2 linked regions of the Tribolium castaneum genome follow. Each later gene encodes a partner of the first gene's protein in a complex. Links are inferred from orthologs where the notes say so. Each region holds a gene or a part of one and is shown on either strand. Other genes may lie near its edges.

The links.
Region 2: the proteins of AIF (region 1) and mitochondrial intermembrane space import and assembly protein 40 are in contact, whole or in part, in a cryo-EM structure (PDB 9GQZ), measured with the Homo sapiens proteins. The link is inferred for Tribolium castaneum from reciprocal best matches to the Homo sapiens genes AIFM1 and CHCHD4. Residues at the interface, in NP_004199.1 of Homo sapiens: Pro345, Tyr347, Ser500, Ser501, Leu502, Pro503, Thr504, Val505, Gly506, Val507, Phe508, Ala509, Lys510, Glu558, Asp559, Tyr560, Asn602, Ala605, Lys606, Phe608, Asn609, Ile610, His611; in NP_001091972.1 of Homo sapiens: Arg5, Glu7, Lys9, Asp10, Arg11, Ile12, Ile13, Phe14, Val15, Thr16, Lys17, His20, Thr22, Pro23.

The regions. Positions count from the first base shown.
Region 1 is NC_087402.1:8,003,951-8,015,142, reverse strand, and holds AIF (apoptosis-inducing factor 1, mitochondrial), read left to right. Parts: upstream 1-5,031; 5' UTR 5,032-5,413; coding exon 5,414-5,501; intron 5,502-5,553; coding exon 5,554-5,750; intron 5,751-5,797; coding exon 5,798-5,974; intron 5,975-7,327; coding exon 7,328-7,531; intron 7,532-7,575; coding exon 7,576-7,706; intron 7,707-7,755; coding exon 7,756-8,986; 3' UTR 8,987-9,091; downstream 9,092-11,192. Other genes in the region: lipase 3, read left to right, coding at 1-306, 360-508, 553-708, 755-1,132; lipase 3, read left to right, coding at 1,281-1,391, 1,437-1,744, 1,790-2,036, 2,087-2,245, 2,290-2,517, 2,566-2,715; lipase 1, read left to right, coding at 3,416-3,511, 3,563-4,282, 4,331-4,415, 4,466-4,611, 4,662-4,811; uncharacterized protein LOC103312777, read right to left, coding at 9,103-9,192, 9,239-9,451, 9,897-10,221, 10,269-10,408, 10,458-10,715, 10,762-11,192. UniProt on the Homo sapiens protein: Functions both as NADH oxidoreductase and as regulator of apoptosis.
Region 2 is NC_087396.1:19,224,299-19,234,495, forward strand, and holds mitochondrial intermembrane space import and assembly protein 40, read right to left. Parts: upstream 6,230-10,197; 5' UTR 6,130-6,229; intron 6,062-6,129; exon of another isoform or gene 5,930-6,061; intron 5,802-5,929; 5' UTR 5,500-5,801; coding exon 5,256-5,499; intron 5,203-5,255; coding exon 5,033-5,202; 3' UTR 4,890-5,032; downstream 1-4,889.

The DNA of each region.
Region 1 (11,192 bases):
AAGCCACGCGACCCCCCGTTTTGCTCATGCACGGTCTCCTTAGCAGTTCAGTGGACTGGGTCAATATGGGTCCGGGAACCGCCCTAGGGCTGCTCTTGGCAGACAGTGGGTACGATGTCTGGATGGGCAACCAGAGGGGCAATACCTGGTCCAGGAAGCACGAAACGCTTGACCCCGACACGGACGCGGAAAAGTTCTTCAACTTTAGCTTTCACGAAATTGGGTATTTTGACCTACCGGCCAAGATCGACTACATTCTGGACACGACAGGCCAAGAGAAACTTTTCTACGTCGGACACTCGCAAGGTTTGGCTTATTTGCCATGAAGTTTATAAATTGTTGGAGATTTTTTCGTGCAGGTACGACAGTTTTTTTTGTGATGGCGAGCGAGAGACCTGAATACAACGAGAAAATCAGGCTGATGTCAGCGTTGGCCCCCATTGCCTACATGGGGCACTTGCCCAATCCTTTGATATCTCAAATCGCTGAACATTACGATTTAATGAATGTGAGTTTAATACGAATTGACTGGGAAAACACCATTAGTTTTAGACACTTGTGGAGATTTTCCACGTGCATGAGTTTCTTCCACACTACGACGTTATAACCGAACTGGGAGAAACTTTTTGTACTAACAGTTCTGACTACAAAGACGCTTGCTACTGGATCCTGAATATAATCGCAGGATTTGACTGGGAAGTGGACCCTGTAAATCTGTCTAATATTGCGTCCAGGTGTTAAAACTAGATTTCAGGACTTCCTTCCTGTGATAATATCAAACGCTCCTGCTGGGTCCTGCATTAAGCAACTCCTGCACTACTTCCAGGAGATAAAGTCTTTTAATTTCTCGCAGTATGATTACGGAGTGGAGGGAAATAAAGCTCGCTACGGGCAAGAAACCCCGCCTTTGTACGATACGACAAAAATTACAGCCCCTGTGATTCTACACTACGCCAGTAACGACTGGCTTGCAGCTCTCGAAGATGTGGACAGGTTAAAAAGCGAGCTACCGAACTTGCTCGGTGCCAAATTGGTGCCTTTTGACCGCTTCAACCACCTCGACTTTCTGTGGGCCAAAGATGTTGTTCAATATTTAAACAACGATGTACTTGACGAAATAAAGTCTAATTGATATGTTGTGGCTTATTGTTTGCTTATATAACAAGGAAACAGACATGAAAATAACAAATTTGCAATCAAGGTCAATAGGCCACATTTTTCCTCTATCTAATCGTCCCAAGTCTTCTGCATTATTTATTAACGCATTCACAACACCGAAGATGTTCAATAAAGATATTTTCGGTCTAGTGGTGGTTGTTATCAGTTCCATCATTCTGGTCGAGATTTTCAACACGACCAAACCCAAACATCCAGACGCTGGATTAAATATTGTAAGTCCGCTTTTCACAAAACTTGCTTTTATCGCAAAACTTTAGTTGCAACTTGTGGAAAAATACGGCTACCTTATCGAAACCCACGAAGTGGTCACCGAGGACGGCTATATTTTAACACTGCACCGAATTGGGCAAAAGAACAATGTTGCAAAACGCGATCCCGTGCTTTTTATGCACGGTTTCATGCAAAGTGCCACCGATTTCGTTAATTTGGGCCCCGGCAAAGCGCTGAGTTTGCTGCTTTCAGACCGAGGCTACGATATTTGGTTGGGGAACGCAAGGGGGTCCACTTGGTCCAGGAAACACAAACGCTTTAATCCCGACAAAGACGCCGAATTTTGGGATTTCAGGTAATCACATTTAGAAATTTCTATAACCGTGAGCTGTGTTTCTAGTTTACATGAAATCGGGGTTTACGACATTCCTGCCTTCATCGACCACATTTTGGAAGTTACGGGACGTGAATCCATACAATACGTTGGTTATTCTCAAGGTACTACAACCTTCTTCATGTTGGGATCAGAAAAACCGGAATACGTGCAAAAAGTTAAGTTAATGACGGCTTTGGCGCCCGCAATTTATTTGAAAAATCCAAAAGGCCCGCTTTTGAAATTTCTTGTATATTTTAGGCGTCTCTGGGAGGTAAATAAAGCAATTCTGGGTTTTAAAAACGTAACTATAATATTTTGTAGTTCCTACTGAAATTTTTCAACTTTCAAGAGTTCTTCCCGAGAGACGGACTAGTGGCGTATTATTTGAACCACATTTGTAACGAAAATTCAGTGTTTGTGGATTTGTGCTTACACCACATTTTCCTGCTTCATGGCTACAGCCACGAACAGACAAATAAGGTAAAATTTCCAAAATTCTAAACTCTTCTATATAATATTTTCAGACACTTCTCTCCCTCATATTCTCTAACACTCCTGCTGGAGTTTCGCCGAAGCAAATGATGCACATTGTGCAACTAATGGAGTCTGGTAATTTCCACCAATATGATTTAGGGGTCACCGAAAATTTGAAAAAATACGGACGAAAGGAACCTCCACATTACGATTTATCGAAAACCACGAATCCGGTCGCTTTATACTATTCGAGTAATGACTGGACTGTAAACACGGAGGTGAGTTTTGCGTTGTTTTACGTTTAAAATTAATATTTTTATTTTTAGAACATTGAGAGAGTGGTCAAAACCTTGCCGAATGTCGTTAAAAGTTATCATGTGCCTTTGGAAAGTTTTAATCACAACGACTTCATGCACGGTCGAAATGCCCCTGAACTTCTGTATAGAGCAATTATAGAAGAAATCTCAAAATATTAGCCAAATAATAAACACTGATTAAATAGTTAACTATTTTTCCATTTGGTTCGCTTTTTGCTAAACTCTTATTGTTATTATAGCCAATTTTACACACGTATTTATGTATTTATATTAAATGAAGGAAAATAAACAAGTTTTTATTTCAAAACATCACCGTCTTTGATAATCTTTGCTAATAAAATCTTAATATTCTATATCTGTCTCCACTATCTCCTGTTGCCAATTTTTTGTTTTGTTTGGAATTTTCCATCAGATTAGGTAAGTTTGATTCCCGTTTATTTCAACAACATTACATTCAGTTTTTATGAAAATCATGACTACGTGTGTGAAACCCATGTTCCTTGTGGAAATAACTTCACGGGGAGCAAATAAATATGTAAAAATAGACGCGTTCTTTATTTTATTAATCATAGTTTTATCTGAGGTATTGACAGCTCCTATTGTTATTAAATTCCATCTTTAAAATATTTTGTTGAATCATTTACCAACAGGTGTTATCAAGCATAAGTGCCAAAAATGACCATTATTTACAAATAAATATATCTGTAATCTCTGATGATCAGAGATATATCTTAACAGTTCAAAGTGTGCAATTGTGATCAGAAATCAGATGCATAAAAGAAAAAATAAATCGATAAAGTTCCATTGTAGATGTTATAAATTCGTTTAGTGGTCCTAATCCTCTCATCAGTGATCCGCAATGGCTATCCAAACCAAACTGGTAATCATTTTCCTCCTCTCAAGTCTCCTCTATGGACGTGAAGTGTCCGCAGACTCGGACGTGGGTTTGAACACAGTAAGTGCTTTCCTTTCAAATAAAAAATTTGACTTAACTCCTTTACGAAAGGTTGAAATGATAGAAAAGCATGGCTACGTGTGTGAAACCCACTACATAACAACCGAAGATGGTTACATCTTAACATACCACAGAATACCACATGGTAAAAACAACGATAATTCGACCAAAAGACCGGCCGTTTTGCTCATGCATGGTCTCATATCGTCTTCGGCCGATTACGTAAATATGGGTCCGAACAATAGTCTCGCCTATATTTTGGCCGACATCGGATATGATGTATGGCTTGGTAATGCTAGAGGGAACGGATGGTCGCGAAATCACACAACTCTGGATATAGTAGCAGATGCTGAGAAGTTTTTCGATTTCAGTTGGCATGAAATCGGGTATTACGACCTGCCCGCTGCTATAGATTACATCTTGGATGTAAACGGTGACGATAGTATTTATTATGTAGGACACTCTCAAGGTACAACTGCCTTCATGGTCTTGGGGTCCACTAGGCCAGAATATAACAGCAAAATCAAAATTGCCTCACTTATGGGGCCTGCCTCGTATATGGAGCATCAGTCCACTACGCTTTTAGTAGGTCTTTCAAAATATATCTTTGAGTTGGAGAAAGTAGTAAAGAAATACACAATATTTGAAATACCGCTTCTGGCACAACTACGAAAGTTTGCGTCTGATTTTTGCTCAAATCCCGACAGTCTCAACATCTGCGAAGATGTTATCGGTCTCATAGGTGGACAAGATAAACCGCAATTTGACTTCGTATGTTATAAGCAGTGGTTATTTAATTTTTCCAATTTTATTTTCTAGGAAAAATTCCCTGTAATTCTTACAAATGCACCCTCAAACGCAGCCATGAAACAGCTTTATCACTATGGCCAACTTATCAAAAATGGTAAAAGGCCCTTTTGGATTTTTAATTGAATTCTAATCCAAATTATTTAGGTGGATTTTCGCAGTTTGATTTTGGCAGTAAAGAAAAAAACAAGGAAATTTATGGAACCGATACACCCCCGGCCTATGATTTGTCGAAAATTTCAGCACCTGTGGCTGTTTATTATGGAAAAAATGACCAGCTGGTGAACTACTTGGTAATTCTCGAATTCATTATTGACTACACTTTAAGTTGGAAATATTTCAGGATGCGCAAACTGTAGTAAAGAATCTTGGAAATGTAGCTAATGATTATTTCATACCGTACGACCTATTCGATCACTTGGACTTCATTTTTGCAAAGGATGTTGTAAATATGCTCTATGTAGAGCTAATTAAAGTTATGCAAAAGTACTGAATAAATTTTTACATAGGATCGCTTATGTGTTTTTTTCTTCCTCACATGAATACACTTAAAATTTAGTGAGCAAAAACGGTGAATACATAAAAATTACCGATCTATTTCAACCAGTAATATCTAATCCAAAGCAAACCAAAAAATTAAAATTGTTCGAAATAATTTTTAAAAAAAAATAACAATACGGATGTGTTGTGTAGACAACCAGTTATACAATCAAAAATTAGTTTTTTGTGGCAAATAAAACATAATATTCATATCAACTTGAACATTTTCCACACAGTTCATCAAAAACTGTGTAACTGACTCATGTGCCTTTTAATCTTTTTATTTACCGTTTCGTGAATTCTTGGACGAGTTTGAGGTTATGTTTTCCCTGATGAAAAACGTGAGCTCAAAAATTCGGCAAAAAGTGTTAGTGTTGGTTCTAATCCTCTAATAATTGTTGCAAAACGACTACGGGACCTCACAGTTACAGTATTTCTCATCAAGACTGAAAAATTTCACATAATAGTGTCATTTTTACTTTTGTCATTTATCATTCAGCTCAGCAATGCTTTTCAATTAAATTCTCCCAACTTCCACCTCGACGCATTTAAGAAATGTTCCGGATTAACCATCTCTTGCAACTAAAGAACGTAACAATCAAAATCCTCCAGAGATCCCCAGTTGAGGCCTCCCGATGTCTAGGTGAGCTGAGCCACCTTCAGGTGGGTCCAGACTTGAATTCCGATATTTCCAGCCCTTCAGCGGGTCCAGTTTACCCACCCGACACGGTTCTATTCAAAAAGTAGCGACGATGGGAACAAAAAGGTACAAGATGGTAAAAACAAAGCTTGTGAAGAGAAAAAAACCCAAAAACGCCCTAAACTGGTCTTGAAAGAGTGTAAACCTGTTGATATCCATCCTTGCACCCCGCCCCCACCTCCTCCACCATCGGTACCTCCTTAATATTTTGTTAGACACACTTAATGAAAAATTTGCAGAAACTGCCCCACATTAATCCAGAGGATTGTCCAGTCAAACCCACTCTGGAAAGCGAATGTCCACAAGCTAAACAGGAGCCCCCGCCAGAGTGCCCGCATGACGAGGGAAGCAAGTGGGATAATTACAAAAATGCCGCCCTTGTGGGGCTTCTAATAGCAGCAGCGACGCTAGGAGCTGTATGTAGAATTTTTCTATTAAACAAAAACCTAAAACGGTTTGCGTGGGCGTCATCAAGTCAAAAGATTATCCAAAACTATGCAAATTGAAACAGTCAATGGAAGTCTAGAACGTTAATTTACAGATTATACTTCAGCTGTATCGTTTTTTATTTTTTTTTTTCGTTCTTTTTGGTTTTCTGTTTTTTTTATAATTCCTTATCACAGCACTGTCCAACTTTTCTTACGAATCATAATTTTTTCTTTCGCGAAATTTTTTGAAGTAAGCCAGAATCCGCTAAAATTGGATAAGAAGGTAAGTACCTCATATGCACTAAATAAACAAAAAATTTACAACTATGGGTGTGTAAATAATTTGGCTAGTTTTGACAACATCTCTTGAAAAAATGGTTTTGCGGCGCAAAATAATCGTAAGAGTAAGAGAAGAGTAAATCTTCTCTACAGTAAAGCCAATTTTTTATTAAAAACATCACTTACAAGTTATGAATTACGTAAAATCAGGGTAAAGAAAAAAGTATTAGTATTAACATTAGTTTAGGCCCTAAAGGCTCCCAAACCGTAGTCCGACCCTGTGCATCTTTTCCTTTTGTCGTCCTCAATTTACTCAGATAAATAAAACTCGGCTTTATTGCATTTTCAGGGTTAGCATAATTGTATGTTGTATTCATTTGAAACAGAACTAAACTGACTTAACATAAGAAAAATAACTAACCTTAACCTCCATCGTGTCGTTTTCAAAAGCTGCGTAATCCGTTTGGCTGCGAGCTGCACATTTTCGATAAAAAATCAGTTATTTGTGCATTAAACACGCGAAAAAACAACCCGTAAAAATTATAAAACAAGTTTTTCACCCACTACACTAACGTATGATGTCAAGTCAAAGACATTTCATTGGTTAATTTTTCAAGGACTCGACTGTCAATAAGTAAAACACCCTATGTTTTGTGCATTTTTGGATATATGTGGTTGTTAATCATAATGTTTTTTTACTAGTAGTTTTTGCTAAGTTTTTGAAATAATTGAATCTCATAGGCAAAAACATTATTTTCAGAAATATCAAACAAAAACTACAACATAAAATACAAGGAATGTTTGTTTACCTACTCTTGTTTAAGTAAGTTTAATAAGTAATCCAAATTTCTGGACGTAAAAAAGAACTTCTAAACATAAAATACATCTTCCTTGTTCTACATTTTAAAAATCTTCGTACAATATTTTATTAATAATGATTTATTTGTTAATTTATTAATAAATGTGTATTAAAAAGACTTGTAATGTTGTTATTTGAAAAATGACGCACACGCAAAGCGTCCCGAAATGGCCTATAATTTTATTTTCACACTGAACCTTTAGCTGTATTACGTTGGATACTTTGAAGATAAAAGCAAACCGAAAAAAATAGTGGCGGCAAAGAAAAAGAAAACTAAGAGAGCACCTGTTAAAGACCCTCTACATTCAAAAGAGATCCCAAATCAAGTTCCTTATTTACTGATCGGGGGCGGAACTGCGTCATTTGCAGCCTTCCGTGCAATCAAATCAGCTGATCCAACCGCAAAAGTAATTTTTTTAACCACCCAAACACTATACTAACAATCGATCAGGTTTTAGTTGTGACAAATGAATCGTTTCACCCTTACATGCGTCCCCCGTTATCGAAAGAAATGTGGTTCAATGAGGACGAAGAATCAGTCAAGAAGCTCATTTTTAAACAGTGGAACGGATCGGAACGAAAGTAATTTTTCTCACAGCCAACAACAAAACAACAATAACGATTTTTCCAGCCTTTACTACGAGCCTGAAGACTTTTATATCAAGTGTCAAGACTTGCTAAAGAACGAAAATGGGGGCGTAGCCGTAGCTCGAGGCTACAAAGTAACCCGTCTTGACGTCGTCAACCGAATTGCTTATCTCGAAGACGGCTACGCCATTGAATACAACAAGTGCCTCATCGCCACAGGTGCTACCCCAAAAATGCTCAACGTGTTCGAGGCAGCTTGTGCCGACCCCCAAATCGACGAAAAAGTCAAAGTGTTCCGCAACATCTACGACTTTGAGGAGGTCTACGATGCTTTCGAGGAGTCAAAATCCATCGCAATAATTGGTGGTGGGTTCCTTGGCAGCGAACTAGCTTGCGCTTTAGCTCGCAAAGGTAAGAGAAAAAAGAAAACGGTGTACCAAGTTTTCCGCGAGCATGGCAACATGGGGAAAATCCTCCCCGAATACCTCAGTTCTTGGACCACTAATAAAGTCAAAGCTGAGGGTGTTAACGTCGTGAACAACAACGAAGTCATCGGAGTGAAGCACGAGGACGGCAAGCTCGTCCTAATTTTAAGCGATGGCAAAATGATAAGAGTTGATAATGTAATTCTGGCCGTTGGTGTGGAACCGAACACCGAGCTGGCGCAGAAATCCGGTTTGGAAGTTGATCCGGAGCTCGGAGGGTTTTTGGTTAATACGGAGCTGATGGCTCGGTCTAATTTGTACATTGCGGGCGATTGCGCGTGTTTTTACGATGTCAAGTTGGGCCGTCGACGCGTGGAGCACCATGACCATGCGGTGGTCACTGGCCGCCTAGCTGGGGAGAATATGACCGGTGGGATTAAGCCCTACCTCCACCAAAGCATGTTTTGGTCGGATTTGGGGCCGGATGTTGGGTATGAAGCGATAGGAATTGTCGATTCGTCGCTTCCCACTGTTGGGGTTTTTGCCAAAGCTTCGGATAAAGATACGCCCAAGGCTGTAGTTACGGAGACCGGGGAAGGGATCAGGTCGAAGATGGAAGCACAAGAGCAGAAGACTGGGGCCGAGACTGAGCACAAGGAGGAGAAGAAGGACAAGAAGGAGGATTACGGCAAAGGGGTTATTTTTTATCTGAGGGATGATGTGGTTGTAGGAATTGTACTGTGGAATGTGTTTAATCGAATGTCGATTGCCAGACAGGTTCTCAAGGATGAGAGGAAATATGACGATCTGAATGAAGTAGCGAAGCTGTTTAACATTCACGAAGACTAACATTCCGGCATTCGGCGATTAATTTTAATTTGATAAGAAGTTTAGATCGATTTGAGTTTGTTCAAATGTATATAGAAAGGATAAAAATACACATTTTTGTCAAAACTTCTGCTTTATTATAATTTATGCGTGTTGCGGTAACATTTCGTAAGTTTCTCGATTAGGGGCATGTGGTCGCTTAAACGAAACTCGCTCATGTCGCACATCTGAAAATTAATATTGGGTTAAAAAAACAATTATTTCGGCAAATACCTCAAGTATTTCTTGGAGCTCAGGTGAATGTGTGATTGTACAAATCCGGTCGTCCAAATGTCGGAAAATAGCAACAAAATAATACATAAGACACTCAATAGGATACAAAACTGAGAATGCTAAGAAATTACAGATTTCTTCAAAACGAAGGAAATTAAAGAAGCACTGGTTGAGCCATGACTGGAGCAGGATTTCAGGACAAATACCTAAAACCTGAACTTTCATTAGTGATTTCTAATGAATTTTACCTTTGGAGGTGACTTAAATTAAATTTTATTTAATACTTTCAGTAACGTTCGTTCAATATAGCCCTATAGCGCATAAGTAACAATTCGAATAAAACAGACAAAAACAGTTATCACATATTATCTAAGTGACTAATTGCTGCAAAGGGCAAACAAAAGGAATTACATAAAGTATTAATAGGTAATGACTAGTTAATTAACAGAAAATCACATATTCTCCGCAAAATCTGATTTATATTTCTGAAAACAGTAATATTAATTTGGAATATAATATCTTCGTAATAAGATGAAAAATAAGGTGTTGTAGAGAATAAATTTTTTTTGAAAAAATTTTATTAACGCTACTCCGCCACTATTGTTTTTTTTGGATACAGAGTGATTTTGAATCTCATTTTAAATTCCAATAATTGTACCTTCAAGGCTTGGTAGCCAGAGCAGTTCTCTTCCAAAACAACTGCAAAATGTTGGTGGAAGCTCTCTTGTAACAAATAATCAAACTCTTTGCCAAAAGTGGCCCAAATAAGCGACGTCACTTGCGTGTTTGTAAAATTAATCAAAATGGATTTGCACTTATGTAAATCTCCCGAACACGTCAGAAAAATGAATCCGACAAACCAATCGAAATTGGTGAAATTTTCCGGTTGGTAACCAATAAAAGCCCGTGATTGTTTTATCAGAAAAATAAGATTTTCGGAGTATTCATTAGGTGGTTTAAGTAAGCCAGTTTTGAGTCCATAACTGGAAAAATTTGTTGTGAAAATAATCACAACGGAGGTAAATGTTACTCGATTATTAAGGAAACGCCAGAAAAGTCTTCGGGGTGCAACTGGTAGTAGACGGAATCTGAAGGGGGCCATTGTAGCTCGATTTTTCTGTAAACGTAAGTTTTGGGAATTTTTTCCAATAAAATTTCCAAGATAGAAGGCTGGAAAATGAGTTTATTAGCTTTCGTGTTGTGTGTGTTTATTAATTACATCAAAAAGATGCAATGAGTTTTTGAAGGCTTTTCTCGCCTGCGACAACCAGCTGAAATTTCCAGTTGTGTCCTCATCCAAAAACACCCGAAATTCATTTTCCCCACTTTTTCCTTGCTCTAGAATTTCGTAAACGGGAGGTGTATCTCCAGACTTATTGACAAACCCTACGTGTGACAACGAAACTAAAATATTATCTCTTAAACAGCTTTGTGCATCGATAATGTCGCTGCATCTGGCAGCTTCCTCCAATTTTTTCTGAAAACTCGTAAAAGTGAAAGTCGGATCAAAGTTTCACACTCACTTGCATTTGATAATTAGTTTGCAAGTAGAGCAACAGATCTAAATTTGTAATGAATACTTTCATTGTTAACAATCCCAAATACTCTTCATTTGGCTCAACGGACTCGCTTAGGCTTTTCTCTATTAGTTCGGACAGGGTAACACTTTTATCCTCACTTTCGACCACAGTGTCGCCGTCATCGTCAGCTAACAACGCGACAGCACTTCGTGCGTTTAATTTAACAACGAAAAGAAATAACACGAATTTAGTACTCGAGTTTGAGTTAACAGTTTCGTCCGAAATCAAAATTTCTTCAAGGTAAGGTTGAACGATTTGTCTGTGGCGCTTGTTCAAAAACTCAAAACCCAGTTTGTCACTCCCCAGTCGAGTTATAACACTTTTTAAATTCTCAACCGGGACGTTCGCAAACAAATCCGTGTAAATTTCAGAAT
Region 2 (10,197 bases), on another chromosome or scaffold:
TAAACAATGTGAAGGAGTGACCCAAAAGTGAATCAAAACAAAAACAAATACCATGTAACGAACAAAAATTCTTTTATGTCTCATAACACTGTTCTAGTTCAGCGGTTTTAAAAGTACGTAGTGGTTTATTTTTTATACATTGTTAACATAAAATGCATGTTATCTGACGAGATCTATAAATAACACCAAATCAAACGCACAATTTGTCAAAATTAATGTGTTATTAGGATCGTTATTGAATGATTAACAAAGAAATAGGTCAGCCATACTGTTCATATTTGTAGTCGCTACTTAAACACAAACGATTATATTGCGTCCACTGACGTCAAACAACAAACCGTGATACATCCATTATCAAGGTAACTTAAAGATATAATACAATAAACATAATACTGGCTGGAATTACCCTTCATTTATATTCTACACGTTCATAAAACTAACGAATCGGATGGTTAATTCCAAAAAAATTAATGATTTAAGCAGTGAGTGCACACTATTGTTCCATATGCAGATGAATGCTTCCAGTATCCATTTGAATATTATTTACTACACTACAAAACATAATTAAAAACAAATTTGTCCGGAGAAAATCTTATCTAGAATGAAATAAACATGCGTTTGTATAGACGACACTTATTTATTTGAAATAAACTGTTCCTAATCTGTCGGAATTACAATAAAATATTGTCGATGTCATAAATTAAACACATCACTTTATGACAGGAATATACCCATTTCGTAATCTGCAAGTAACTTTTTATTTTATATTAAGTGAGAAAAACGAAAAAACTGCAGAAACTATTTAATCAACGTACTATTTGGTACTTCATACCGGAAATAAGAATAAAATATAAACTCCTTCTAAATAATTTGTGTCAAAGTTTTGCATATCGTAAAAATAATTGGCAATAAAAATGTCTTTTCTCAGAATCACTTTCTCGAAAATAAATTATATGTGTCAGGGTATCAATAAAATCCGCTCTCTGAACACGTACTATATTAATAATTTTATAACAGCAAAAGAAAAATACTCATTATTACAAAAATTCCTTTATCAAGAAAAAATCGTGCAACAAACAATGTCAACGATCAGAAAAATAACAACAAAATAACTTTTTAATTCGAAACTCATGCAAAATTGATGAGTCTTCAGTCAAACTTATCAGTTTCGCAACAATATCATGTTGAGCAATTTTGATGTTAATTAATTAATTCTTTGACACTTCGGTTTCATAGAAGTATGGAAAAGTACATACATGTGGCGAAGCTGCTTTTTTCTGAACCTTTATCAATCAGTCTGAAAGTACACATTTTATGACTCAATTAAATTCTTTTCACTTTACAAATTAACAGGATACATATTTTAATTCTCTCCAAATTGCTTTGCCCCCAAACTAGAGTCAATGTCGAATTTTTCATACAAGTGCATTGTTCCCTTTAATCTTAATTCGAACCTTGAACCTGCTCATAATTGAAGGGGAACATGAAATGGGCGACAAATGAACTGTATCGCCAACAAGCAGAAATTGATCAAAGTTAAGCCAAATGAAAAATGTTACGCAAGAGAAACAACAAAATTATTTGCTTAGTCTAATTTGGGCACGGAGACTGTACTAATAAATTTTACGGTTTTGTTGACAAAGCAAATAAAAGTTATTACCTGAATGTAATCTCAAAAGACAATTTACAGTCCAACGAGTAAGTGCAAGATAAACCATTTTCAATTTTTTTAATTTACTGTAAAAATGAATTTTAAGTTCATGTGACCACCAAAATGTCTTTGAGCAACTCAAGGTTGTGAGAATGATAGCGTCTCTTTGTCAGGGGTGAATGAATAAGATACCTTTTCTAATCTTGATTTACGAGTATTAGAGACGACTTTCCACATCAATTTAAATGAAAATAAATCTTAACGAGTATCACTAAAGCCCACAACAGTTTACAAATTAAACGTTTTATCCTTCCTATTTCTAAACTTGGACAAACATTTTTGGTTACAAAACCAATTGAGAAAATGGATGTAAGAAAAAACTAGCTATAAAGCAAGAAACAAACACTTGTAATTTGGTAATTGTCATACTTCCGTTTTGATTTTTTCTGGCAAAAAACATACAAATCATTTTGATTTTCTCAGTCAGTCGGACCTAAAATTTTAATCCATTTTTCTTTCATAAACAATATGAGCATGTTTACGAAAATCCTGTATTGAATTCAAAATATCCTTCACTAACTTTAGAACACATGCAAATATTTTAAACTTCTTTTTGGCCAAGTGCAAACTATGCAAAGTAAGTTTTGGCGAATATTATCATTATTCAAAACGAACTAATTTTTTAGACCGTTTTTTCTAGCTTAACATTGTGCAAATTTAAATGATCCTCAAAGATATTAATTAGGAATTTAGGAATTTAACATTTAATGTCATTCATTGTTGATAACAAAATTCTTAGAAACTAATAGAGCACAACTGTAACTAACGCCAAATTAAAAAGTGGCAATGACCCCAATATTAAAAAAAACAAATTGCAACGAATTCAAAAATTGAAAAGTATTTCAATGACGCATCATTTCTTATCTACCTATTTCTGATTACATTGAGCATAAAATTGGTGCAATTCAATTTTTATGGTCAAACAAAAGAACAATTCTTTACGTTATGAAAGCTGGAGTTAATAAAAATAATTGTCTGAGGTGCTAGAGCCCAATTTCCGCAGGCAATGGAAATGTACCAGGGAAGTCACCAAAATTTGATATGTTATCATCCGATTACGATGAAACTGCATTTACTCAGTATGGCATGACAATATGAAATGTTCAGGACCCCATAATTCATAATTAATTCGCTGAAGGGAACCAGTTTGTTCTAAGAACTTGAAATTGCCCAATCCACTGGATTACCCAATGTGTTTTCAGCGTCGAGATGGAGCCTAATTAGTGCTAAAACCCGACTTATTCTTGGGACAGGTCCACAGGTACCAGGACTCCGGAATGATACTAATAATAAATTTTGTGGAGACTTGGGGGAAAGTAGGTTGCATGGGTTCTTGCAGTGAGAAAATTTTCAGGCGAAATGTGCCTCTGACAACGGCACTAGGCCGATGCCATCGGCTCTAGCAGCTCTAAACTTTGATAAACAACGATTTAATTGAAGAGTAATTGGCTCATTACCCCCGAAAACTCCAGGAAGAGGTTGGTCTATTGTATTTTCACTAACCTGCGTTTATCTTTCGGTGCTGTTTTCCCTTTACTCTCCATAATACGCGTGTTCTTCTTAGTCACTGCTAAGGAAGGACACTAACGTCTCAAATCTTTATTCAAAACACACTCAAAACAACACTAATAACAATTTCTGTAGAGAACATTAACTTTCTGTTTGTGACGTTCGTTCCACAACATGAACTGCATTTCCCGACAGCTGTTGGCGCAACTGGCAACTAATAGACAGCGGGAGCTTTGAATTTTCCTTTCGCATTTGACATACAACCTTGGAGCTTGAACGAGGAAGCTCGTATTAAATGTTAATTTACACATTTCTCGTACTTATAGCTTTCGTGTGGGTGGGGTGCAACCATCCTGAGTTAGCTGCACTGCTTATCGTCCCATTTATTTAAATAACTATGTTAATGTAGCACCAAAATCGTCGCTGATAATTCTTTCTTCAAATGTTCAAATTATATTACAGATGATACTCTCATTTTAACAAATTATGCTATTTTTTAAGTTTTTCGTTTAATAGAGCCACATAAACCAGCTACTTCATAATCTCCAGCATAATCTGTACAGTTCATGGTCTCTGCTTCATTATAAAAAATGTAGGTAGTCCAGAACACATAAATTTTACAAATATGCAAATTATTCAGATTCTTTCAGTGGCACTGTCTGTTACAAATTCTTGATATTTTATTGTTTGATTGTGGTTTATTTACATAAAATCATTATATTCATCTGTATCCACCACCTTGTGCTTTTTTTTTGATTTTTTATCTGTTTTTGAATTTTTTTTCAATATGTAGTTTGGTACTTTCTTAGTTTGTTTTTAACGAAATTTTGCGAGCTATGATTAAGTTTCAAATAAAAAAAATAAATTAACTTGTTTTTTTGTTTGTTTAAGCAAACTTTTACAAAAAACTACGCAAGTCTTTAGAGATGAAGATGTAGAGATCACCACACCTTTTGGCTTCTGGCCCGTTTTTGTCGAAATTTATTTATGTAATTTATTAAAGCGTTTTAAAAAAACTTGCAGAAAAAATGAGTTATGCAGTTCATAAACGAAGTATTTTATCCAAAAGCGAACTAAATTAGTAAAATTAACTAAGCTTTCTTTACCTCTTCAATGCATTAATTGCTACATGATTAGTACAAATATAGTTAAAAAAATGCACATTCTATGCTAGAATCACTTGTACAGCTTGAGTGATTGAAAGCAACTACTTTTTTTTATTCGTGCTAATTTTAATATTTTTAAGACATTAAAGTAGATCTGATCTCTACCTTTTATTTATTTTTAATTATTTTAGTTTTATTCAACGCATACTTATTAGTTCCACACCACTTGGTATCAAGTAGAAAAAAATCTAATGATTACGTAGATATAACAGTTATAACAACATAATATTTATTCATTATGTTTTTTGCTTTTCCAATGCTATTTTTAAATTAACTTAATTCCCTGAAATTTTTATGTTATTCTGTATTTTTAATGACAGAAACAATCAAGTCTAATAACCAATGGTTTATTTACCATTTTATATCAACCAAGTAATATTTTCTGTACTTAATTTACACTGTGGCTTTAAAGTATCAAATTCAAACGCTACGGTGAGGGTTGCCAACTTAATTTCACTGACCAGAGCTTAAATTGCAGTTCATGGTATTCGCAAAACAAAACAAATGCAAAACAAATTTATTAAAAAAAAACTTTCAAACGTTACAATTGTGTAGTAACATTCATGTAACAATTAGAAAAAACTAGACAAATTAGGAAAGATTGTCTTCTTAAACTATAACAAAAACTAGATTAGCCTTTAAGTTCTTATGATTTTTTGTCCGACTTTGGAGCGCCTTCAGAACTAGGCGCTGCGCTTTTGTCGCCTGAATCCATCGAGCTAAAGTCATCATCGTCGGCTAAGTCTTTGTTGTACAAAGTTGGATATTTTTGCATACAATTTTGCATGGTCTTAAATAATTCATAGCAATCGCTACCTAAAAAATAATTAAATTCAGCCGACTTGCAAACTTTTTTCCGACTAATCCACCTTTAGGTTCCGCCTCGGAATAGTGAAAACAACTAAATGCGTTCCTAAACTCCACCCCACAGGGCCCCGTTGCCATGCCCCCTAGACAGGGGCAGTTCCAGTTGATGTCCCCGTTTGGGAGGATCAGCCCTGGCTGGGGGTCAGGCTCTGGCAGAGTCACAGTGCTTGGGACCTTGTGGTCCTCTGGGGTGGCAAAAATCACTATATCCTTGCCCTGGGGCCCTAATCTTTGGCAGAAAGACATTTCAGTGCTCGTATTCTCGACTGTCACCCTGGAGATTCAGCAAAATGGGGCTGGTCTTATGAATCTTGTAGGAACAACTGATGTTGTTGTAGCTACCACACAGGGTTAGACTACTGCGGATTTTCACGTAGTATTCGGAGGGTACTCTTAAAATACCGCGTTTGATCGCTAGATTGTATCTTAGGACGTCTATGTCTACACAAGCTGCAGATTCTCCAAATAACGCAGACACTGCATCAACGATGTGTTTTTTAAAGTACGCGTCTGTTATTACCTCATAGGCGGTATTATCGTGCAATCTCCTGGAACAAGACAATTATTAGTGCGATAAATGGGACAAACGTGGTTGAAAGTGAACTAAATTAAATATACTAACAAGGAAACGTCTAAATAATAGTATTTGCTCATTCTAATTTACATAACTACTTGCCATTGAGGAAAATTACTGTTTTAAACCGGGAAATAATTTTCCAGCGAATTTAACCTACAAAAAGCTAGAATCAGCAGGAAGGCCACCCGTGGAAACGTAAAGAGACTAGCTAATTTGGTGAACAATACATAAAAATTATGGGATACAGTAAAATGCCTCAATGGTTACAACTGTTGATCAATTAGTGCAAAATAACTTACAATTTATTTCGCAAATAAATAAGAAAATGTTTTTCGATGTTATCTAAAGGTTGGGGACATTGGATTCGGATCACTTGACTGGCTTGACAGATTTCTTTATCCCACTTGTTTTACTAGCTATAGGTTTGCCTCCAAACTGTAGTCAATATGTGCATCCGCTGGTTCATAGATGGCAGGACGTATTTCAATTCTCTATTTTTTACAAGCATTCAAAAACTAATAAATTATACTTATAATTTGATAAAGTAATTAGTATTTTAAAAAGCAAAAATATTGTTTATTAGCTATGCAGCTAATTCTGCATAAAAATTAAAATTTTCTTCCAGGAAACTTATGGAAAACTTAAGAATTCTCCTCAGTTGATCTGAGTCGTTTTTTAACAGAGTTGTGAAAACTAACACAAAATTATCGTTTTTAAGAAAAATAAAGCAACCTAAACCATGTCCAGTTTTGTTTTTGGTTGTAGTACTAACAGATATTTATTATACAAAACGATAAAAAGATTGTTAAATAAATTAAAAAAAAATATCTACCCTTGTGGATACTGTGATATTTTATCTTTCTACTGATGTTCTTAATACAAGTTTTCTTTGGTAATTTTCTTAAGTACTAAAGCGTAAATTTTAATAAAAATTAAAACTATTTACAAATTGACAGAAATAACATTGTTTGAAAGAAAAAAAAGTAGAAATTTGTTGGTCAGTGATTCATAGTTTATAAATAGAAAAATAAATTGTTTTGTGACATTATGTTTCATTAGATGCTAATTCTGTTTGATAACAACAAAATTAGAAGCTAATTTCAGTCCATTTACGTATTTAAAGTCTGGAGAATCATTAATTTATTTTAATTACACAGGTACTCAGTAATAACAATATAATGTAATTTCAAATCATTCGTAAACTTTAAAGACCTCTCCTTGACCACCCACAGTGCAGTTTCGTTTCGACGAAAAACTTTCTGATAGTATTTCCAACTAGTGTATCTAATTCTCTAATTGTAAAAGGATCTGCAGACGTCCTTCGTAATAACTTTCCAAACTGGAACTTTTATAACCATTAGCGTTCCTTACAGTTACAGCAAAACATTGTCTGAAATAATGGATTTTTTACGACTCAAATATAATAACTTCGGCATTTATTGTACTATTGATTAATACTGAGACGAATATCTGACACAATAACTACACGTTTAAAACGGTTGGGCAAATTAAAAGTTTGATTTTGCAACACGAGCTCAAAATAATTCGGTGTGTCTTTCAGATAATAACAGCTTTCGACATTTGTGTCGCTCATGCGTGAATTAGTGCAGTTTCACACAAAAGTACGTTTGTAAACGCATTTGGGTTTATTACGTTGCCCATTTTTAAATCTTGGAACAATAAGCATTATTTATATTTTCAAGTGTCCCACTAAAAACAAATGATTACAAAAACATACATTATTGTTCATTGTGTGACGGCTTAGAGCACTTAAAATATGATGAATCTTTATACCCAAATGAATTTAATTGTTGATGGTGAAAACTCATTAATTACGGCAGAGGCTTTAACAAAGGCCAGATCTACTTTGGAAGTCTTTGTTATCTACCTAGCCATTGTCTTCGTTTATTGCAGGCATCAGGTAAATTGCGTCTAGTTTATATTTTAAGAACCCTCGGTATTATTCAGCGAAATAACCCAATTATAACAAATATAAATTACGGGCGCCGACGACAAAGATTTTATCATTCGTTAGAATAAATTCGCATTTCCAATTGAGTCGGATTGAGATTGAAAAAATTTACGATCCGTCATGTAATTAAAATCTACAACTCGCTGGCCGAAGGAAATATTAAAAGAATTTTAAACTCTATTATGAGATGCGAGATAAAAGAAATGGTAATTAAGGAGTTCGGAACAAGGCAGGTCATTATTACGTGTCTGTTTCGCTTTATCTGATTGAGAAGTGATTTCTGTCTCCTTCTAAACACGGGCTGTCGTTGCCGATTTAAATCACGCATCGATTTTTCCAAAGTTATCGTTAAAATTATCTCCCATCTACATTTACCCTATTCATGGCTCCTATTGTACGCAACATATCAAAGAGGAGCTGCAGCTCGCACTGCACTTTATTTATGGCCCAGAATGCTTAATCAGCGGAATTAGAATAAAATTCCAATCACCACAACGATAGCCTGCGACTACCTGCACTGTCGGATAGGGTGGTGCGGCATAAATACAGTCGTTTAATTTTATAGTCAATTTAAGGGCATATAAACTAACTCCGATGGCCGTTAACATTACCTCCCTTTACAACGCCCGAATTCGTCAAGAACCTAAAAGCACTTATAAAAACATAAACTTGAAAGTCCAGCCGACAGCGGATTAAACGAAAGTCATAACTCCTGTTTAGAATTAGCGCAATTTCGTTAATGGTCAGATGAACGGAGAAGAAAGCACTTCCAAGTAGAGATACATCCAACAGAGGTTCAAAGAAATTTTTTGACATTGTTTCGTTTGTTCGTTTGGGACTTGAAGGTTTTACGATTCCGAAGTCCTCCCCTAATGCGAAAGGCCTATAATCTGACAGGCGGTGGAAGAGTGGTTATACTAAATTAATGTGTCGTGCATTTCACGCACATCTGTGCACAAATGGCGCTCCTTGGAGATGTTTTCGGCTTTCTTCAGCTAATTATTGCTATGTTTATGTTTATTACACATGTTGGGAAAATTGTAGAAATCCGGCGAGAGCTAGCGCTGGCCCTCGAGCTCGGAAAGTTCAAACGAAATGATAAGATGAACAACACGTATTTTTTCCAATTTATTTAACAGTAAATAAAATTGTACAAATTGTTCTTTATTTTAACGTTTCTACAGCAATTGAAACTAAAATTTAGTCAAGAAAACGTCATCATAGCCGAATCGAATGTTTTTTTACTGTGAATTACGTTATTGCTTTTTAGTCAGCTGTAAATCACGATTTCAACTCATCTCGCAGCCAAATTACAACCCCAGCATTATTTTTAATTTTTAAGCTGGTTAACACCTTCAAAGGAGTATGCCATCTAGCAGCAAAAGCCTGATGGTCTATTTAATAAAGCTAGAAAACATCGATTACAGCAAAAAAATGCTACAAACAAATGTTTCTGAGACATTGTTTAGCTTTCCTAAGCCTTATTTTAACAATATTATGGCAATGTAACTGTGAAAATTTTTGCTATTAATCAGTCATGAAAGCCAAAACGGTGCGATATCTCTGTGCAGATTTATAGCCAAATTTTGGAATCAGTAAACAATACTGCTGTCTGTGCTTGATTTCAGCTGAAAGCTCTATTAACCTTGATGTTGATTACAGCCTCATTACAACCATATTCCCGCTATGGAGCTGTTGAAACTTTAGTTAGCAATATGCAATAAAAGCCAATACGCTGTGATATATCCATTGGAACCTTATGGCTAAATTTTTGATATAATATATATATTTTTTTATGTACACGTGATTTTTTGGTAAATGTTCGAAGGACCATCATAATATATTATAAGTGAAAAACGTGCAAGTGTAAAAATATTTTAGACAAAAAACAATTCATTAAATATCCTTAGGAAGTGATTGTTGGTGAAGACGTTTTTGATACAAGTTGTTTTTTTATTTTTTGATAAGCTTTGTTTTCTGCAAAAATCAAGAAATTTTACAATTGATTCTCCTAAAAACGAACCACTATTGTCAAACAAAATAATATTTTCAGTTAAACAGCTGAAAGCTCTCTTGATGAGCTTTTTTTCCTGAAAAAAAATCGGACAAAAAAGGCGAAATTAGTACGAAAATTGCCGTTTTCAGGCAAAATATGTCGATTACAGCTTTCAAGTTTGTTTGCCAGGAGACCAGGAGTCGTCCAAAATCAAATTAATTAAAGAAGCTAGTAAGAAAGTCGTAAATTTCGGTCGTAATAAGTCAATTTAAAAATAACGACTTTTTTTAAAGAAGGAATTGTTAGAAGTCAAGTTATGTATACGAAATTAATAAAGAATAAAGTAATATTCTTTTTTGGTTTCTCCATTAAACAATGAATAAATCAAGAAAATTATGG